Linked DNA regions of Saccharomyces cerevisiae S288C. The gene in region 1 interacts genetically with each later gene. Each region holds a gene or a part of one and is shown in the gene's direction. Other genes may lie near its edges.

What was found.
Region 2: mutations in SAE2 (region 1) and FUN30 impair growth when combined (synthetic growth defect), as found in Saccharomyces cerevisiae (3 studies listed by BioGRID, with this or other methods).
Region 3: mutations in SAE2 (region 1) and RMI1 together harm fitness more than expected from each alone (negative genetic interaction), as found in Saccharomyces cerevisiae (3 studies listed by BioGRID).
Region 4: mutations in SAE2 (region 1) and DIA2 together harm fitness more than expected from each alone (negative genetic interaction), as found in Saccharomyces cerevisiae (4 studies listed by BioGRID, with this or other methods).

The regions. Positions count from the first base shown.
Region 1 is NC_001139.9:171,925-176,175, reverse strand, and holds SAE2 (ssDNA endodeoxyribonuclease SAE2), read left to right. Parts: upstream 1-1,853; coding exon 1,854-2,891; downstream 2,892-4,251. Other genes in the region: chromatin-binding exonuclease XRN1, read left to right, coding at 1-649; BUD13 (Bud13p), read right to left, coding at 831-1,631; YGL176C (uncharacterized protein), read left to right, coding at 3,097-4,251. UniProt on the Saccharomyces cerevisiae protein: Endonuclease that cooperates with the MRX complex in processing meiotic and mitotic double-strand breaks by allowing the endonucleolytic removal of SPO11 from the break sites and ensuring both resection and intrachromosomal association of the broken ends.
Region 2 is NC_001133.9:112,896-119,316, forward strand, and holds FUN30 (DNA-dependent ATPase FUN30), read left to right. Parts: upstream 1-2,023; coding exon 2,024-5,419; downstream 5,420-6,421. Other genes in the region: CCR4-NOT core exoribonuclease subunit CCR4, read right to left, coding at 1-464; ATS1 (Ats1p), read right to left, coding at 719-1,720; LDS1 (Lds1p), read right to left, coding at 5,669-6,421. UniProt on the Saccharomyces cerevisiae protein: DNA helicase that possesses intrinsic ATP-dependent nucleosome-remodeling activity and is both required for DNA repair and heterochromatin organization.
Region 3 is NC_001148.4:501,409-505,214, forward strand, and holds RMI1 (Rmi1p), read left to right. Parts: upstream 1-2,108; coding exon 2,109-2,834; downstream 2,835-3,806. Other genes in the region: putative serine/threonine protein kinase SKS1, read right to left, coding at 1-775; methylenetetrahydrofolate reductase (NAD(P)H) MET12, read right to left, coding at 2,931-3,806. UniProt on the Saccharomyces cerevisiae protein: Structure-specific DNA-binding protein with a preference for cruciform structures. Also binds single-stranded DNA (ssDNA). Functions together with SGS1 and TOP3 to maintain genome integrity. Essential for proper meiotic cell division.
Region 4 is NC_001147.6:472,862-478,152, forward strand, and holds DIA2 (DNA-binding SCF ubiquitin ligase subunit DIA2), read left to right. Parts: upstream 1-1,732; coding exon 1,733-3,931; downstream 3,932-5,291. Other genes in the region: BUD21 (Bud21p), read left to right, coding at 1-508; Mn(2+) transporter ATX2, read right to left, coding at 614-1,555; TGL5 (triacylglycerol lipase), read right to left, coding at 4,078-5,291. UniProt on the Saccharomyces cerevisiae protein: F-box protein component of a SCF (SKP1-CUL1-F-box protein) E3 ubiquitin-protein ligase complex which mediates the ubiquitination and subsequent proteasomal degradation of target proteins. Probably recognizes and binds to phosphorylated target proteins.

The DNA.
Region 1 (4,251 bases):
TTCCAAACCCGCAAAGAAAGTTTTGTTAAAAAGACCAGCTCAGAAAAGCAGTGAAAACGTGCAAGTTGATTTGGCCAATTTTGAAAAAGCACCGCTTGATAATCCAACTGTTGCTGGATCTATTTTCAATGCCGTTGCAAATCAATATTCTGATGGTATAGGCAGTAATTTGAATATCCCAACTCCACCTCACCCAATGAATGTGGTTGGGGGTCCTATTCCTGGAGCGAATGATGTTGCAGATGTTGGTTTGCCGTACAATATTCCCCCAGGTTTTATGACGCATCCTAATGGTCTTCACCCATTACACCCTCACCAGATGCCTTACCCTAATATGAATGGAATGTCTATTCCGCCACCAGCACCACATGGGTTTGGACAACCGATTTCCTTCCCACCTCCACCTCCTATGACAAATGTTTCAGATCAAGGAAGTCGTATTGTTGTCAATGAAAAGGAAAGCCAAGATTTGAAAAAATTCATTAATGGTAAACAGCACAGCAATGGTTCAACTATTGGGGGAGAAACAAAGAACAGTAGGAAAGGCGAGATTAAACCTTCTTCTGGCACAAACTCTACTGAATGTCAATCGCCAAAGTCACAAAGCAATGCTGCTGACCGTGATAATAAAAAAGACGAATCTACTTAGAACATACGACTAAAAACGAAGTATATTCGAGGTTACTTTAATAGTATATCTGAGACCTATATAAAGAGGGGTATTTGTATTTAATCGTTGATCTTGTTAAGAAAAAGCTTATAACAAATGGGGATTGTCAAAGGGTATTTTTTACACAAAGCTTTCCGCATAGTTATATATTATCTCATTTTCAATAATCCTCCTGTAGGGTGTAGCTTTGCACTTTCTTCTCATTGATCTCATTTTGCTTAGCAAACCATTTTTCTTCAAAGCCATTTGATCTGTGGACACCGTCCCATCTTGACCCAGGCATAATGGCAAACCTGTTCTCAGGTGCTGGCTTATCATAAAGCTTGCGGCCCAGTAAAGATGTTTTTACAGTTCTTTCTTTGTCATGTGTAAATGTTATTGCAGGGTCTTCTATCGTCAGACTCGAGGCAGTTTGATTTTTCTTCTTATCATGTGCATCTACATTTATTCCAAGCTTTTGCACGTCTCCCATATTCAAATTTTTCAGGTATTGCTCTCTTTCCGCGGCTTTCTCATCTTCATATTTAGATCGACTAAAACTAGAATCGTCTATCTTGGAATCTTCCTGAATCTTGTGACCTTGAGCGTCTCTGTATATGGTTTTTCGTGTTTTCGATTTGTCTGCTACTGTGACAAGTGGCTCTTGAGCCCTGATTTCCTTTAGATCGTTCTTGCTTTCGTTGCCAGTAATTGACGATGCGGAAGGATGTGTTATTGCATGGGAAAGCTCGTTTGTTTCCAGGTTCTTCCATATATTCTTGCTTTTTTGTTTGTCAAACTTGCTGAATGAAGCAACTCCTGACTTCTCCTGTTCTTGTTGCAGTGTACTTAGCCGTTCTTTTACTATCAAAGAAGTTTTGTCTGAGTTAGCGTCTGATTTTGACTCTTTCTTCTTCTTTTTCGTCTTATTTTTGGGTTTCGTGGGCCCATAAGTCTCTGATAAATACTGATGCAATGCCATGTAATAAACGTCCTGTTGTTATCTTCCACCATTCGAGTCTTGAGAACAACTTTCAAAATCAAGTCAAATAGCCATTTTCTTTATGCCATTTTCTAAGCGCGTTCTACAAAAAAAAAGCTTTTAAGCTTTAATACCTTTTTTGTTTACGTTTGCAAACATTGTTATCGTTCACATACCTGCATTTCCATCCATGCTGTAAGCCATTAGGTGTTTGTATGTGAGATGGTGACTGGTGAAGAAAATGTGTATCTAAAGTCAAGCTTATCCATTCTCAAGGAGCTCAGTCTCGATGAACTACTAAATGTGCAGTATGACGTGACTACCTTAATCGCGAAACGTGTTCAAGCACTGCAAAATCGGAATAAATGTGTTCTCGAAGAACCTAACAGTAAACTGGCTGAAATTCTATGTCACGAAAAAAATGCTCCTCAACAATCCTCTCAGACGTCTGCGGGGCCAGGTGAGCAAGATTCTGAAGATTTCATCCTTACTCAGTTTGATGAGGACATAAAGAAAGAATCAGCAGAGGTTCACTATCGTAATGAAAATAAACACACTGTGCAGTTACCGCTGGTTACTATGCCACCTAATAGGCATAAACGGAAAATTTCGGAGTTTAGTTCGCCTTTAAATGGCCTCAACAACTTAAGCGATTTGGAAGATTGCTCTGATACTGTAATCCACGAAAAAGATAATGATAAAGAGAACAAAACAAGAAAACTATTGGGAATAGAGCTCGAGAACCCTGAATCTACATCGCCAAATTTATACAAAAATGTTAAGGATAATTTCCTGTTTGACTTCAATACGAACCCTTTAACAAAGCGAGCCTGGATTCTCGAAGACTTTAGACCAAATGAAGATATCGCCCCGGTTAAGAGAGGAAGAAGAAAATTGGAGCGATTTTATGCCCAAGTTGGAAAGCCAGAGGATTCTAAACACAGATCATTGTCAGTAGTTATAGAATCGCAAAATTCGGACTACGAATTTGCGTTTGATAACTTGAGGAATAGATCAAAATCCCCCCCAGGTTTTGGAAGACTGGATTTTCCCTCCACTCAGGAAGGGAACGAGGACAAAAAGAAATCCCAGGAAATCATCAGAAGAAAGACAAAATATAGGTTTTTAATGGCAAGCAATAACAAGATCCCACCGTACGAGAGAGAATATGTATTCAAAAGAGAACAATTAAATCAAATTGTTGACGATGGATGTTTCTTCTGGAGTGATAAATTATTGCAGATATATGCTAGATGTTAAACGCCAGCGATCATCATTCTTTATTCATTACTTCAAATACATTTTTTTTGGTATGGTTGAAAGGGCTTTTTTCCTCGTTGGCATATGGGAAAAACTGAAAAATAAAAAAAGGCAATGAGATGAACAACAATGGAAAACAAAAAAGGGCGAATAAATAAGCAGCAGTTGGTAAAGCAGAAAGGGGAAGTTAACGGACGTTAAACAAATGACACCTAACTTACCAGGGTTTTATTATGATAGAGAACGTCGACGTTATTTTCGCATATCTGAAAATCAAAGCATTTCTACCACGGGAACGACGAACCAGTACAGAAAAGATAATATAAAGCGACAATGTGTTGAGGAAAATTACGATAAAAAATTTTCTATGATTAAAAAAAAACGTCAGCAAACATTACAAAAGTACAAGCTTAGTCTTCTGAATCCGTTGGAAAGGGCTTTTCGCCCTTTATCATATGAAAAGTACATGATTGGTTTAAATATGCAGTATGCATCGCATTCTCTCACTGAAGGTCATCACTCACATAGTTCTGCTAACGTAAAATCACTCAATTTTCCACACAGGATACAGATAGGAGTATTAGCAAATTGTATTTTATTGGTAACTCAAGAAGGATGTTTTCATAGTAAATTAGTATTTGCAACAAACAAGGGCTATGTCGCAGGATTTTCATCCCTGGATAATTTTTCTGAAGAAAATTTCTTTACGGGGTTTTCCATGGCTGAATTAAATCCTATGTTGAAATATAAGTCCGAGCCAACTGATGTGTTCAAAACAATGAAACTTGAGAGAACAGTTGCCATCAAGGAAGGGCCGAGCCATTATTTTTATCACAACGTTAATACCAGATCTAACGTGCATACTTTTGCCATCTTTTTACAAGACTTTTCTTCCTTAAAACTGCTCAAAATTCGTCAGGTCAAACTCAAAGAAAATTGCCAAGTCCATGATTCTCTTGTTGTTGGAGACACGTTGATTATTACCGTAAATTATCGTTGTCATTTTTATGATTTGATTCCAGAAACCTTTCCAAATCCCTATATCTTTTCTCCTGCCAAAAGCTCAAGAAAACACAAAAGTAGGAGTGACATTACTTCCCTATCATTTTGTCTACAAGAAGATGCTTTATCACCTTTAAAAAAAACGAACACCGGTGTGTTTTATTTAGGTTACAGAAATGGTGATTCAATGGCAATAGTCTTCACTAATATTACAAACATGACATTACAGTACTCCAAGACCAACGGTATGACATCAGAAAGTCGAAATCAACCTATCAGAAATTCCCTAAAATCTGTTGTTTCCATAAAAGCATTGAATAATAAAGGCCTAATACTTATATCTGGAATGGCAGACAAA
Region 2 (6,421 bases), on another chromosome or scaffold:
GGATTGTTTAGTAAAGAAGGGTCATCCAAGTGCGGGTGTAATAAAGGGTTACTGGCGTTCACATTGATGTTCACAGGCGTACCAACGGTAGGAACCATCCCTATAGAATTTACTGCGGCTGTGGAGGCATTCATCATCACCCCGCTTCCACCGCCGTTGTTGTTGTTGTTGTTGTTGTTGTTATTGTTGTTATTGTTGTTATCCATGTTCATATTGAGCATGTTCGCGTTCCCATTAGCCAATTGGTCGAGCAACTGGCGCGAGTTGTTGTTGCTGGAAGTGTGTACATCGCTGTTGTTCATGAGTCCCGGTGGAGGTATCCCGGTGAGCTGGTTCATGTGTAGCTGCTGCTGTAGAGCGTTTGGTGTACCCTTTCCTAGTAGCCCGGCATGCTGCTGTTGCTGCTGTTGCTGTTGCTGCTGCGGGCCCACATTAGGGTAGCCTAGTAAAGAAGGGTCGTTCATTAGCGGTAGTTTGCAGGGATAACGTCAGTCGGAGTTCCCTTGCTGGTGTCCCTTATGCTGTGCCCTTGTGCTTGAGAACCTTCTCTAAGGTGGAAACTTTTTCAAATTTTTTCGTTGTTGGCCCGTTTTTCGCAAGTACGGGCGATAACAAAAGGCCTAAACGGCTACTTTACCTTTGAGATCTACCACGATGAGAATTAATGCTGAATGGACATCTATGTATATGATAGTGGGTATATAGTTACTTATCAGTGCTAGAGCACGATCCACGTGGTGGCACATCCGCCAAACACGCGAGGTTTTCCAGAGTATTGGCCCACGAGCTGCAGTCCAGGCTGGGAGCCCTTTTGCGGGCCGCAGTTGCCATGCTCTCCCCAGCCCCAGCAGTATACATTGTAACAGTGAGACTTGCCTTCTTGATTAGCAGTAGTTAGAATACCGTGCTCACTCCCGGTTGCAACACCGACAATAGGGAAGTCTAGGCGCTCTTGCGGGAAGAGTTGGGAATGTGTGCCCCTACCAAACGACTCTACCGTATTGAGGCGCGCATTCCACAGGTGGATCGAGGTCCACATGCACAGTACCACTAGATTGTGTCTTTTTTGCTGTTGTTTGAGCTCGAACCCAGTGGGCAGGCGACCGGATGCGTGCACTATGCGGCCGCCCTCGTCCACTATGACCATGAAGTCCTTGCCCATGGCCACGTAGTCTACGGCCACAGACCCGGTATCGTACACCAATACGGGCTCTTTCAGTGATCGGGATTTGGGCTCTTGCAATTGACACTTTGTGTTGCTGCCCCAGCCGTATACTCGGGTGCCTTGCACCACCACAAAGTTCTGGAAACATCCGTATACTGCGATGCGCTCATCGTTGGAATTCAATGGCACATGTTGCTGAGTGAACTCGTAGCAACCGCCTCCTCTCTGCCATACACGGCCATCAGCATCCACAATAACTGTCGTGTCCCAGCCGCACGCCACATCCACCACGGGTGCCGGTACTTCCACGGGCCTCCAGTCATGCACCTGCCGCAGTGCTTGCGCACTATCCAGTTCTCCCCGTCTGTTATCTCCACATCCTACCAGATTCCCGTCATTTGTCAGCATCACGCTGTGGTTCCCACCGCACGCTATCTTCCTGACTATTGCTCCATCATCTCCTGGCACAGACCTCTGTGGGGTATCCATATCCTCATCGTGCCCCAGTCCCAGTTGCCTTTGCCCATTAGACCCAAACGCATACACACAACTCATCGATACAAGCCTGTTATAGCCTTTAATGATCACATTCCATCACTTGCGCTTTGGATCTGCCTGCATTATCAAGGCTCAAACGGCTGCGTTACCCCCGTCGCCGCGAAATTTTTCATAATTTTTCACTTTGTAGGATTAAAAGAGATCATGAGCCCATCTCGCAATGCAACACGTAACTTAAATCAGTACTGGCGTGTGCTATAGTGCTCTATATTCGAGTTTGTTGCTACTGGTGGACACCCGACTATCTACAGTAAGGAACGTAAACAAGAAAAAGAGAGAAAATACGCTATAGTTGAAAACATGAGTGGTTCGCATTCAAATGATGAGGATGACGTAGTGCAAGTGCCCGAGACGTCCTCTCCCACCAAGGTAGCATCGTCGTCTCCCTTAAAGCCTACTTCGCCAACAGTTCCGGATGCAAGTGTGGCGTCTTTGAGAAGCAGGTTTACTTTCAAGCCTTCAGATCCCAGCGAAGGAGCTCATACTTCGAAGCCGCTCCCATCTGGGAGTCCTGAGGTAGCACTGGTTAACCTTGCGAGAGAGTTCCCCGATTTCTCTCAAACTCTGGTGCAGGCTGTTTTCAAATCTAACTCTTTTAACTTACAGTCTGCCAGGGAACGTCTTACAAGATTGAGGCAGCAAAGACAAAATTGGACATGGAACAAGAACGCATCTCCCAAGAAGTCAGAAACCCCGCCACCTGTCAAGAAGTCATTACCACTGGCAAACACAGGCCGTTTATCATCTATCCATGGCAATATCAACAACAAATCCTCCAAGATTACCGTGGCCAAACAGAAAACGTCCATTTTTGACCGTTACTCAAACGTCATCAACCAGAAACAATACACTTTTGAGCTGCCAACTAACTTGAATATAGACTCGGAGGCACTGAGCAAGTTGCCCGTGAACTACAACAAAAAGAGAAGGCTGGTAAGGGCAGATCAGCATCCAATTGGCAAGTCTTATGAGTCATCCGCTACACAATTAGGTTCTGCAAGAGAGAAACTACTGGCGAACCGCAAATACGGTCGTCATGCAAACGACAACGATGAAGAGGAGGAAGAGAGTATGATGACGGACGATGACGATGCAAGTGGCGACGACTACACAGAATCCACGCCGCAGATAAATCTGGATGAACAAGTTTTACAGTTTATTAATGACTCTGATATTGTCGATCTCTCGGACCTCTCAGATACCACGATGCATAAGGCTCAACTCATAGCCTCACATAGGCCATATTCTTCTTTAAATGCCTTTGTAAACACAAATTTCAATGATAAGGACACTGAGGAGAACGCATCGAACAAGAGAAAAAGACGTGCGGCTGCATCCGCCAATGAGAGTGAGAGGCTGCTCGATAAAATCACCCAAAGTATAAGAGGTTACAATGCAATTGAGTCTGTGATCAAGAAATGTTCTTCCTACGGTGATTTGGTCACTTCGCAAATGAAGAAATGGGGTGTGCAAGTGGAAGGCGATAACTCTGAGTTGGACCTGATGAACCTTGGGGAAGACGATGACGACGACAATGATGATGGCAATAACGATAATAATAATAGCAACAATAACAATACCGCTGGCGCAGACGCCACTAGCAAGGAAAAAGAAGATACAAAGGCCGTAGTGGAAGGTTTTGATGAAACTAGCGCAGAACCTACTCCAGCACCAGCACCAGCACCAGTGGAAAGAGAAACAAAACGAATTAGAAACACAACTAAGCCAAAAGTGGTCGAAGATGAAGATGACGATGTAGATTTGGAGGCAATCGATGACGAATTGCCGCAGTCTGAGCATGAAGATGATGACTATGAAGAGGAGGACGAAGACTATAACGATGAGGAAGAAGATGTGGAATATGATGATGGTGACGATGATGACGATGATGACGATGAATTTGTCGCTACCAGAAAAAACACACACGTGATCTCCACCACGAGCAGAAATGGCCGTAAACCTATTGTCAAGTTCTTCAAGGGCAAACCCAGACTGTTAAGCCCGGAAATTTCACTAAAAGACTACCAACAAACGGGTATAAACTGGTTGAATCTGCTATACCAAAACAAGATGTCATGTATCCTTGCAGACGACATGGGTCTAGGTAAAACATGTCAAGTCATTTCATTTTTCGCATATTTGAAACAAATAAACGAACCGGGTCCTCACTTGGTTGTTGTGCCATCATCGACGCTAGAAAATTGGTTAAGGGAGTTCCAGAAATTCGCACCTGCTTTGAAGATTGAACCCTACTATGGCTCTTTACAAGAAAGGGAAGAATTGCGTGATATCCTGGAAAGGAACGCTGGGAAATATGATGTTATCGTGACCACGTATAACTTGGCTGCAGGTAATAAATACGACGTTTCGTTTTTGAAAAATAGAAACTTCAATGTTGTGGTTTATGATGAAGGTCATATGTTGAAAAATTCCACTTCAGAGAGATTTGCCAAACTGATGAAAATTCGTGCCAATTTCCGCCTTTTATTAACTGGTACGCCATTACAAAATAACTTGAAGGAACTAATGTCGCTGTTGGAATTTATCATGCCAAATCTTTTCATTTCCAAAAAGGAATCATTTGACGCAATCTTCAAACAACGTGCCAAGACCACAGACGATAACAAAAATCACAACCCGCTATTAGCGCAAGAAGCCATTACAAGAGCTAAAACGATGATGAAGCCATTTATTTTGAGAAGACGTAAGGATCAAGTGTTGAAACATTTGCCACCAAAGCACACGCATATTCAGTATTGTGAATTGAACGCAATACAAAAAAAAATATATGATAAGGAAATACAAATCGTGTTAGAACATAAGAGAATGATTAAAGATGGCGAATTGCCAAAAGATGCAAAAGAAAAGTCTAAATTACAATCTTCAAGTTCCAAAAATTTAATAATGGCATTGCGAAAGGCCTCTCTGCATCCACTTTTGTTCAGAAATATCTATAATGATAAAATCATCACTAAAATGAGTGATGCCATATTGGATGAACCTGCTTATGCTGAAAACGGTAACAAAGAGTATATTAAGGAAGATATGAGCTATATGACGGATTTTGAGTTGCACAAACTATGCTGCAATTTCCCGAACACGTTATCCAAATACCAACTTCATAATGACGAGTGGATGCAATCTGGGAAGATAGACGCTTTGAAAAAATTGCTGAAAACAATCATTGTTGACAAACAGGAAAAGGTGCTGATATTTTCCTTATTCACTCAAGTCCTGGATATTCTAGAGATGGTTTTGTCCACCTTAGATTATAAATTTTTAAGATTAGATGGTTCCACGCAAGTGAATGATAGACAACTACTAATAGATAAGTTTTATGAAGATAAGGATATTCCCATTTTCATCTTATCAACAAAGGCAGGTGGATTCGGTATTAATTTGGTGTGCGCAAATAATGTTATTATATTCGATCAAAGTTTTAACCCACATGATGACAGACAAGCTGCTGATAGGGCACATCGTGTGGGACAAACAAAGGAAGTTAATATAACCACTTTAATTACTAAGGATTCCATAGAGGAAAAGATTCATCAACTGGCCAAAAATAAACTAGCTTTAGATTCGTATATCAGTGAAGATAAAAAATCTCAAGATGTGTTGGAAAGTAAAGTTAGTGATATGTTGGAGGATATAATTTATGATGAAAACTCGAAACCGAAGGGAACCAAAGAATAAATAAATAAAAATATAGTAAAAAAGTAAATAGATAAGCAGAAAATAAACCAAAAAAATAACATATTTATTTTCTTCTGCGTGAACGCACCATGTGGAAAAAGAGAGTTGATAGAACAAAGGACAAAGAAATTTAGAACGGTAAAAATATTTTCTAGAGTATAATATACATATATGTGTATATATACATAGGTTAGTATGTATAGCTAGGTAATTTTAATCTGGGGAGAGAAATGGTGAACTTTTTTCAATTTATTGATTCGGTTGTTGATTGATATCTTGTGGTGCTGCTTCAATTTCAGCTTGAGTTTCTACTAAATTTTCAGGGACCATTGGATGATCAAGGTTAAATAAAACGCTACCAATAGTATTTGTAGAAATGGCAAAGCCCGCTAAAATGGGCACGGACTCAATCAAACCGGCCAAGAAACCAAATGAGGCATATTGGCCAGCGTGGAGATAAATATTTTCACGTCTTTGTATGTTGTCGAAATTTTGTAAACGTAAAACTTTCGTGAAGTAAATTTGAGTGATGAAAGGAGAAATTAAAATATGAAAAAGGATTGGTCCAATAAGTGGGAAAAAAGATATAACCAACAGCACAAAAAGAACCGACAGGCCTAACATGTACTTGACCAACTTGAATGGGAAATAGTAAGCCCAGAAATATATCGAGTTAATAGGTGCATAGTACTTGATTGGTTTGACTTCACTCAAATTCTCCTCTAAACCATTCTTCTCTAAGCACACCTCCACTAAATGATTATTAAAATGACTGAGTCTCATAAACAATAAAGTGAAAACATTTGCTTGCAAAAAGGAATGAAAAATGGCAATGAAAAGCCCAATAGGGCCCAGCACAATCAAAAAAGCTGTGTACATTGGCGTAATTGTAGCCCAATACACAAAGCTTACCAGGGCAAACATTATCAAGTAACTCGATAATATACCTAACATAGTCGTTGAGTAACTGCTCTTATTGGTGTTGAACTCTAAAAACCCTTT
Region 3 (3,806 bases), on another chromosome or scaffold:
ATATATCTCCTGTATCCGTAGGGAGGCTCGAACAGCATTCGTCGACGTGTATGCCGTTGGTGGTGGTATTCAAACAATACAATATTCTTTCTGGAGCCATATAATATGAACTGCCAACGCACACATTTGGAGCTAGATATTTAGATTTAGTGGAAAGCCCGAAATCGCAAAGATAAGCGTTGTCATTGCGATCCAGTAGGACATTTTCAGGTTTGATATCACAATGATATATACCGAGACGATGACAGTGATCTAATGCGGAGCAAAGCTGCAGAAAAACTTTCTTAATCAAAATACCATGATTTACAAAATGCTTATCGTCAACTATCGAGGTGAAAAGGTCCCTGTCGTAATAATCCATCACTATAAAAGTGGCAATAGAAGATTCTAAAACTTGGTGAATCTTCACGATATTGCCGTGAGACTGCACTCTTAGTTGGAAGGCAATCTCCCTGTAGTGTGGTAGCCTATTTAGTTCATTCTCAGTCAACTGTAATATCGAGTCTAGATCAACGGAAGGTAAGAACAATTTTTTTTGGAAACTTTTGAAAAAATGATACAGTTGCGTTTGCAGAAGAGTGGTTCGCGCCACTTGAGAGTTGTTGTTCAAACCGTTCTTATTATAAAACTCATCCATCGAGGAGGATTTGAAGACCGTTTTCACTGCATATTCACGGCTCGTCAGTATATCCACCACATGGAACACTAGTCCATACGCACCCGACCCTATTTGAGCCGTTATTCTGAAATTGTTCAGCAAGCAGTCTGACAGCATTTGTACACAAAATTTCTTGTCTGTGTTCTTATTTGATGTTTTCTTTTAAAGAGTTTTGTTTCCGCTAGGGCGATTTAAGTCAATAAGTAAATTTAACAATTTACTAAATATATTTTGTATAATATATAAGAATATACGCCTTAAGAATGTCCTCTCATGCGAAAAAGGTAGCAAGAGCATAAAAAGGAAAAAGAAAACGCTATAGTCATTTGTAGGCTCTTGTCTTTCTTCGTCTTCGTCCCGTGAGTGCGGACTCAGAAAACACCGCAATGATGTGGGTCCGGAATATCTATTGCACAGTTTTAGTAGGGTCACCGATATCGTTAAGGTTTGTGGTAGGAACAGAAGGTACTGCCGGCCCTGTATACTGCCCTTTTGTTCCGACCATTTCTTTTTTGCATTTGTCCCAAGATTCTCTCTCCCCACAAAATCTGCTCAAGTATCTGTCCAACGCGCTTTCTTCGGCTGATAGATAAGTTCCGATTTCGTGGGAAGCAAAAAAAAAAAAAAAAAGAAAAAAAGAGTCTGTCCGAGAAATGTCCCGGAAAACGTGGGTGTGCGGTGAGGAGATTGTACTTCCATCCCACATTCCTCGTGTTTGATTGGCTGCAAGCCACTTGATGCCTAGAAAAGAAACACCGCGTGGTGCATCTATGTCCATATCACGCGCGCTAAAACAGCATGTAGAGAGCGCGAGGGCGGCGTACTGCACCATTCTAATAGGAAATCCGGGATGAATGCCCTCTCCGGAAATACCTCCACTAAGCCTCAATGGAAAGTTGTTCCGCTCACGCGAACAGGTTTTTCCGGGGAGTCGAGAACTACAGTGACGTAAATACGACGACATCGCTAGAGCCAGCAGAAGCCTCCATACATTCAGACTAATTAGTTGACGGGCTTGAGCCAACTAGACATATTATGTAGGCACATATGCTCCAACCAATACATATGTGTACATAGAGTACAGCTCTTCCCAGCGCATCCGCTATCGTCCTCTTGACAGGTCCGGCTATTTATTATCCGCGGCATCCGCGGCCCAGCGCACAATAATAGATTACTTTGCAATGCAAGCGGTCTTGGCTGTTTGCTCTGAGGGTCCATCTTCGTTTATTTCTTTATTTACTAAATTAATTATGATACTGCACTCAGGACGGGCCAAGAAAGCATGTAGCGTGAAGAGAAACTAATTATTAAGAAAAAAGAAAAAAAAAAAAAAAAAAAAAAAGAAAAGGAAAAAGGAAAAAGATAAACCAATCATACAATCTTTACAGAAAGGGAGTACTGAGAAGAAGGCCAAAATACTGCAGAGCATACATACTACCGAGTGGATGGAATGTCTTTTTCATCTATCTTATCACAGGATATCACAGATGACATTACACCACCAGCGTATTCCGCCACCTTGGGGTCGAGAGAACAGATTGTTTTCAGAGCTTACCAAAATGAACCTTGGTTGGCTGGTACTGCTTCGAATCTTATCTTAGATAAAAAACTTGTTATTGTAGACAGAGAACTGTTGTTCCAGGTGTTGATGGTAGAGAATATCACCAAATCCAAGCTAACACAGATCGATGATATAAAAACCAAGCTGGATCCGAAAAAACAGAAAGTGGATAGACTACGATCAGGCGCGCAAGGAAATGGCGCTAAGAAGTACGAGGTCATCACTCAAGTGGACATGGAAGATGACGGGAATGTGGCGGATAACAACTGCGCCAAGGAAAATAATAGCAACAATAATAGCAGTGCCGCCAAGAATAAAGCAGTGTTTAAATTGACACTACAAAGTAAGTCGGGCGACGTTTTTTTTGCTATCAACTCGACTCCAATATCTTGGAGCTCTTGCATGCTGGGTTCTAAAATTGTGATACTGCCGGGAACTGTGTTCAATAGGGGCGTTTTCATATTGAAGGACTCACAAGTCATTTTTCTCGGCGGCATTAATAGAGTTTGGAATGAAAATAGAGATCAGAAATTTTGTGATTATTTGGAATCTAAATTACAACGTGACAAACAACTTGTAAATGGCGGCTCCAAGAAAAGGAAAGCCAATGATTAGCATATGCCTCTTCTTCTTAGAAGGGCGTTCTGCCCGTTATGTATACGTTAAATATTACATTATTTTCGCATTTTTGTATTTATATTCAGTGAAATATTAGGCTTGGTCGAGTAACATTTCCCATAGCTCGTCGGTTTCTTTGAAGTCGTGATGAACAATTGAGACAAGACAGTAGTCTTTATGCACTAGTCTTAGAAGAATATTGGCTGGGGTGTTCCTTGGAAATAACTTGGCCCACTCGGACCAGATACTAAACGCTTCATCTCTCCATGCCTTGAATGACTCTTCTTCAATGATTGTAGTCTGTTTGACCGGACTGTTGGGAAAAACACCCCATGTTACAACGCTAGAGCTGTGCGGGTCTAGGTTCGTTTCAAATGAACCAGATGAATCGCCCGCGTAATAACTGAATTTCCGACGCCCGTAATGGTCTAGCTTGGGTTTCAAAGTTGTTTCCCATTGCTGTCTATGAATAAACATTTCTACGAATGCCTTCTGATACAACCTCCCTTTCGCGGGCCCCCAGCCGAATATTTTATCACTACTCAATGTAGCATTTGTGGCAGGTTGCGATGCCAAAGTCAAATATCCGCGATAGTTTAGTTGGATTAGTTCTTCTTGTATTAACGCCGTTTCAGCTGATAAACCCAGGTCAGACCAGGGAATCGCATCCGTTGAACCTTCCAAATATTTTATAAAAATATCTTTTAAATCGCCAATTGTCTTTGGTATACCCCATAGTTCAAGCGCTTTGCTTTTGCTTACCTTGATGGATGGCCCATAACCGTCTATTTCACCATATGCGGGAGACCTGGAGTCACCAAATCTACCATTGGGGAACTCATCCCAAGTGGCATCACGACCCAAAGTTCCGTGACCTTTAGAAATAGATATTAAAGCCTTTTTAGATGGCATGGAACCATTCTCATTATTATAGCGTAAGCCTTTTTCAGTGACGATAGCCCTATTGAA
Region 4 (5,291 bases), on another chromosome or scaffold:
TGATGATGATGCTCCACAAGAAGAAGGGCTTCACTCTGGGAAAAGTGAGGTAGAATCACAGATCACTCAGAGGGAGGAGGCTATAAGGCTGGAACAATCACAATTGCGGTCCAAGAGAAGGAAGCAAAATGAATTATACGCCAAGCAAAAGAAATCAGTGAATGAGACAGAGGTCACTGATGAAGTAATTGCGGAGCTTCCTGAGGAATTGCTAAAAAATATAGATCAGAAGGACGAAGGTAGTACGCAGTACTCATCTTCAAGACATGTAACTTTCGATAAATTGGATGAGTCAGATGAAAATGAAGAGGCATTGGCTAAAGCTATAAAAACTAAGAAAAGGAAGACATTAAAAAATTTAAGGAAAGATTCGGTGAAAAGAGGAAAATTTAGAGTTCAATTGTTATCCACCACACAAGATTCTAAAACATTACCACCAAAGAAAGAATCATCCATCATACGTTCAAAAGACCGTTGGCTAAATAGAAAGGCTTTGAATAAAGGGTAATATATAGCATACAACATAATAAAATAATAGTACAATCACAAAATTAATCATAATGTTCATTTATCTATAATCAAACAATGAGAATATATACTGAAGTTTGGTAGGTTATTCTTCAGAGATGCAGTACGATATCACCAACGGTATGCAGACACCTATCAAAACATAAACGGATTCATCATGAGGTAAAACGACTTCCTGTTCAACGCTGAGATCGTGATCATGAGAATCTCCACCAACAAATGCTGTGAAAGACGCATATAGTAAACTGCCACCACTCATAAGCAGAAGATTTCCACTTATCCAATCCATCGTTGGCGAATGACTCAGATTCAAAAGGGATAACACTATGTATCCGATCGGAGTCGATGACGCAAACAAGAAAACGTTACAGATCACCTCCCATTTCATTAAGTTTTGTCTCGATACCATCAAACTAGTGAGGGAAAGAACGGCAGGAATTTTATGAATAACTATAGCAATTAACACCACTATGAGCAGTGAATCATTGTTCGTTGTCGTACCTAATGCAATTCCATCAGATAGTCCATGAATGAATAAGGCAAAGACAACATTGTTTTGTATTAAGTTCATCCATATTTGTCTTGGATGGTTTATTATATCTTTCCAGCTTTGAAATTTGACAGCATCATGCGTATAGACCGTTTGCTTTCTAGAAACCCATAGTGTAACCAACCTATCAAGAACATAAACACCTAGAAACCCAATTAATAAATTCACACCAACGTTTCCATCATGTTCGACACACGCTTTGATACCTTCCGGTATTACCAACATAAATGATGTACCTAACAACATTCCTATACCGAATTGTGATAGAACGGCAATCTTCACACGGTAACTACTAACATCGTCATTGATCGTTTGAGTATCTGCGTTCGTAGTAAAATCAGAAATTGAGTCAGCACCTTCTTGGTTTGTGACAATGGAACTTTTTTGTTTATCAATATAATACAATGGGATAAGCCCTATGAGGAAGGTAGCAATCAAAAGAAAACTTGCTAGCAGTATTACACCCAAAAACTTCATTATTATCGGTCTTGGTAACACTAGCTTTAAACCGCGCTTATTTGAGAAGTTTTTATGCAGCTAAACTGTTTCTCGTCATTTTTTTATAGTTATTTCTCGAAAAATATTATAAATAGACATGCAAAATGATTAGCCATGTCGTATAAATTTATTACCAAGAACAAAAAATACACCCCGATGTCTTCCCCAGGGAATTCAGGCGTGGCTATAGATTCTACCGTTCTGAAAGCAATTGAATTAGGAACGAGGCTTTTTAAATCTGGAGAATATTTGCAAGCGAAAAGGATATTCACAAATGCTTTGAGAGTATGTGATTCTTATTCTCAGGAGCAGATTATGCGCATTAGGAACGCGTATCAATTAGATACTGCGAGACCGGATAACAAACGATTATATCATCCTAGATACATAAAGATATTGGATAACATCTGTGCGTGCTACGAAAAATTGAATGATTTGAAATCTTGTTTGGACGTATCACAAAGGTTACTTAAGTTAGAACCAGGTAATATCAAATGCTATATACGATGTACAAGGACGTTGATAAAATTAAAAGACTGGAAAAGGGCATATAAAACATGTTCTCGTGGACTGCAATTATGCAATAACGATAGCAATCATCTAAGACAACAAAAACAATTCATTAAAAATAACATGGTTCAAAAACAGGACGGCAAGAGAAGTTATATAGATCCATTAGAGGAGACCAAAATAGCAAAAAAAAAAAAGAATAATAATGTTCTAGAATCGTTACCAAAGAAGAAGATTAAAGGTAGTACCAAGAAAACTGATTTAGTTGGCAATTTGCCGATAGAAATACTACCTATCATATTCCAAAGGTTTACCACTAAGGAGCTTGTTACGTTGTCGCTAGTTTGTAACAAATGGAGGGACAAAATTTTGTATCATTTAGACTGCTTCCAAGAATTCAACTTGGCACCAATAAATTTTAAAAATTTTGTAAAGTTTATGGATTTTTTACAACAGAATTTCACCAGGACGTATAGAAAATATATTCTTTCACAAGTAAAAGTCAGTTCTAGAATCACTTCGGAAGAGTTACGAATAACTCAATTATTATTCAGTAAAATGCCGAAATGTATAAACATCGAACGGCTTATACTGTCAATGCCAACACTAACTACAACACAAATCTTTAAGTTAATGGTTAGAGGAGGCACAGATTTTTTTACAAGGCTGCTGGAATTATCTCTCATGATAACTTATAGGCCTGATAAACAACATGAATTGGAGATACTGCAGACTTGTCCTCTGTTGAAAAAAATAGAATTAATTTTTGTCAATTCACTGGTACCAATTTTCGACGGAAATAATAGCGTTGGGAGGGATGGAAGTTTCAATGTGATGGCCCGTCATACTAATATGCAGATATCCACTGCGGATAATGATGAACAGGGAATAGTAGAAGAAAAGGTGATTTATAGTGAGCTAGAGAAGATAACATTGATATGTGATAAGAAGAAAATTAAGAATTTTCCACTTTGTCGTGCTCTATTAAGAGGCCAGTTTCCTCTATTGCAGAAACTGACGATAACTGGTGTAACATTTCCTATGAATAATCAAGACATAATGAATTTTCAATGGCTATTGAACTTCCCAGACCTAAAAGAACTATGGATAGAAGATAACGACAACTGTGAACTCAGTAAGTTTTTGCAATTGTTAAAATTTTCGAATGTCTGGAAAAACTTGGAAAAGTTAACCTTTAGAGAGAACAAGCTATATCCAATTGTTAATTTGGATGAAGATCAGCCTGTTACGAATGACGACGAGGTGCCATCCATGCTATTTTACAAGGAAAATCTCCAAAACCTGGAAAAGTTGGATCTAATGGGGACATCGATAAGTGGTTCTGCGTTGACTAGATTATGCGAGCAGGAATACTTGGATGGTCGGAAATTAAGAAGTTTAAACATTGGGAATTGCCCCAACATCCAGTTCCCAAATAATCACGCTCATACAGCAAGGATGATACTGGATGTGAATGCAGTTTTGAAGAGACTCTCCAAGTTGGAAGAAATAAATTTATCGCATCTCAGCTCCTTGAATGATAGTACGATGAAGTCATTCATTATTAATGTACCATTTTTGGAAAATTTAAAGAGGCTTGACATTTCGCACAATTTTGAAATTACAGGAATATCAATATATGAATTTCTAAAAAAATTTCAGATGGATCATGACAACGAAGCGGGAGGTCAACCACTGGCATATTTAAATATTGACGGATGTTCCCAAGTGTCTCATATCACAGTTAATATGATCCGAGCGCAGAACTTAGTTACTCAAGTGGATTGTGTTTATGAAAGAGATGTATGGAGAAAATTTGGAATTAATTCATATTCATACTCATAGATTAATAAATCACTGATGATAATGCAGTATCCTTCGGAAAATTCTTAGAATATTTAATATAACAAAATGGCATGTACCTTTTGGAGTTGATGGAGGTGAGAATATAGAAAGCTTTTTATATAAAAATGTACTTATTGTCTTTCATTTCAATTTTGAAAAATGTCTGAATTGTTCATGAAATTGTCGTTTGTGGCAGCCGACATAGCGTCCATGGGGAACCTGCTTGGATTGAATAAAGTGTTATCAAATGAACCGTTTTCAATAGCCGGTATGGGAAAATCTTCTGAGTTTGTTTGAACATCATAAGAGGAAATTGTTCCAGATTTTTTTCTATTTTTCCTCATCTCTGCCGACATATTTTGATTATAATAAGAAGATCTTTTTTTGAATTGAGGTCGTGATGGAACCTTCAATGGTGATTTCTTTAGCCGTAAACTAGATGCACCGATGGCAAACGATAAAGAATTTGCCTTCTGCCTTGTACCCTGCTGCGTGAATGAAGATTTTGAACGTTGTGGAGATGTAGAAGGCGATGGAGAAGGCGATAACATATCCATTTTCCTCTTGTTGAAGGTAGAAGATGGAGAAGGCAATGGCTGAAGAGGAAATCTTCCCGGTGCCGCTGTTTTGTTGGGAGACTTGATAATTGATAGTGAATTGGAGGAGGATTCTTCCAAGTCAACTCCCGGCAAGTCAGCATCCATTATGGAAAGAGATTTGATTTGCTCACTGAATCGAGGTTGGTAGAATTGTAAAGGGTTTTTTATTGACGAAGAGATTATTATTTTCTCCTTTAGGAATGTGATGGCCTTATCCAAGGCGAATTCTTGGCCACAGTTATTTTGAATCATGGAAATTTTCGGCCAAGTAGCTCTTGCACCTAAAGTAGTTTGGTGCAATAGGAAAAGTTGAGATGGGTTCTTCAATACTTCGTGGAATTGACCAACCATTGATAGATCGGGTAAAATTGTGACATTGCCAGAGTATTGTTGTAAAAAAAGGTGTTTCAATTTGGTCATCAAATAGGGATGGAACTCAAGCTCCTTTAGGATGTCTAAAAAATGAATAGTTTCGTCGGAAAAAAATTTGAAGATCTTTGTTACTTGGTTTCTGAAACGGGCGGTAATTTCCTTTTCAATTTCACCCCCAACGCAAGTGTTTGAAAACTTTAACAGGGGAAAGACATGTATATTTACCTGGCAGGCGATAATGTGGTCGACATTGAACATTTCAGAAAGACGAGAAATGGGCATGTCATTATCTACAGATCCGTCCATGAATTTCATGTTTGATAAATGTAAATTTGTTGCCCCCCACTCTTTAATCTTTCCAGTGTGAGGATCTTTCTCGAATAGCGGCG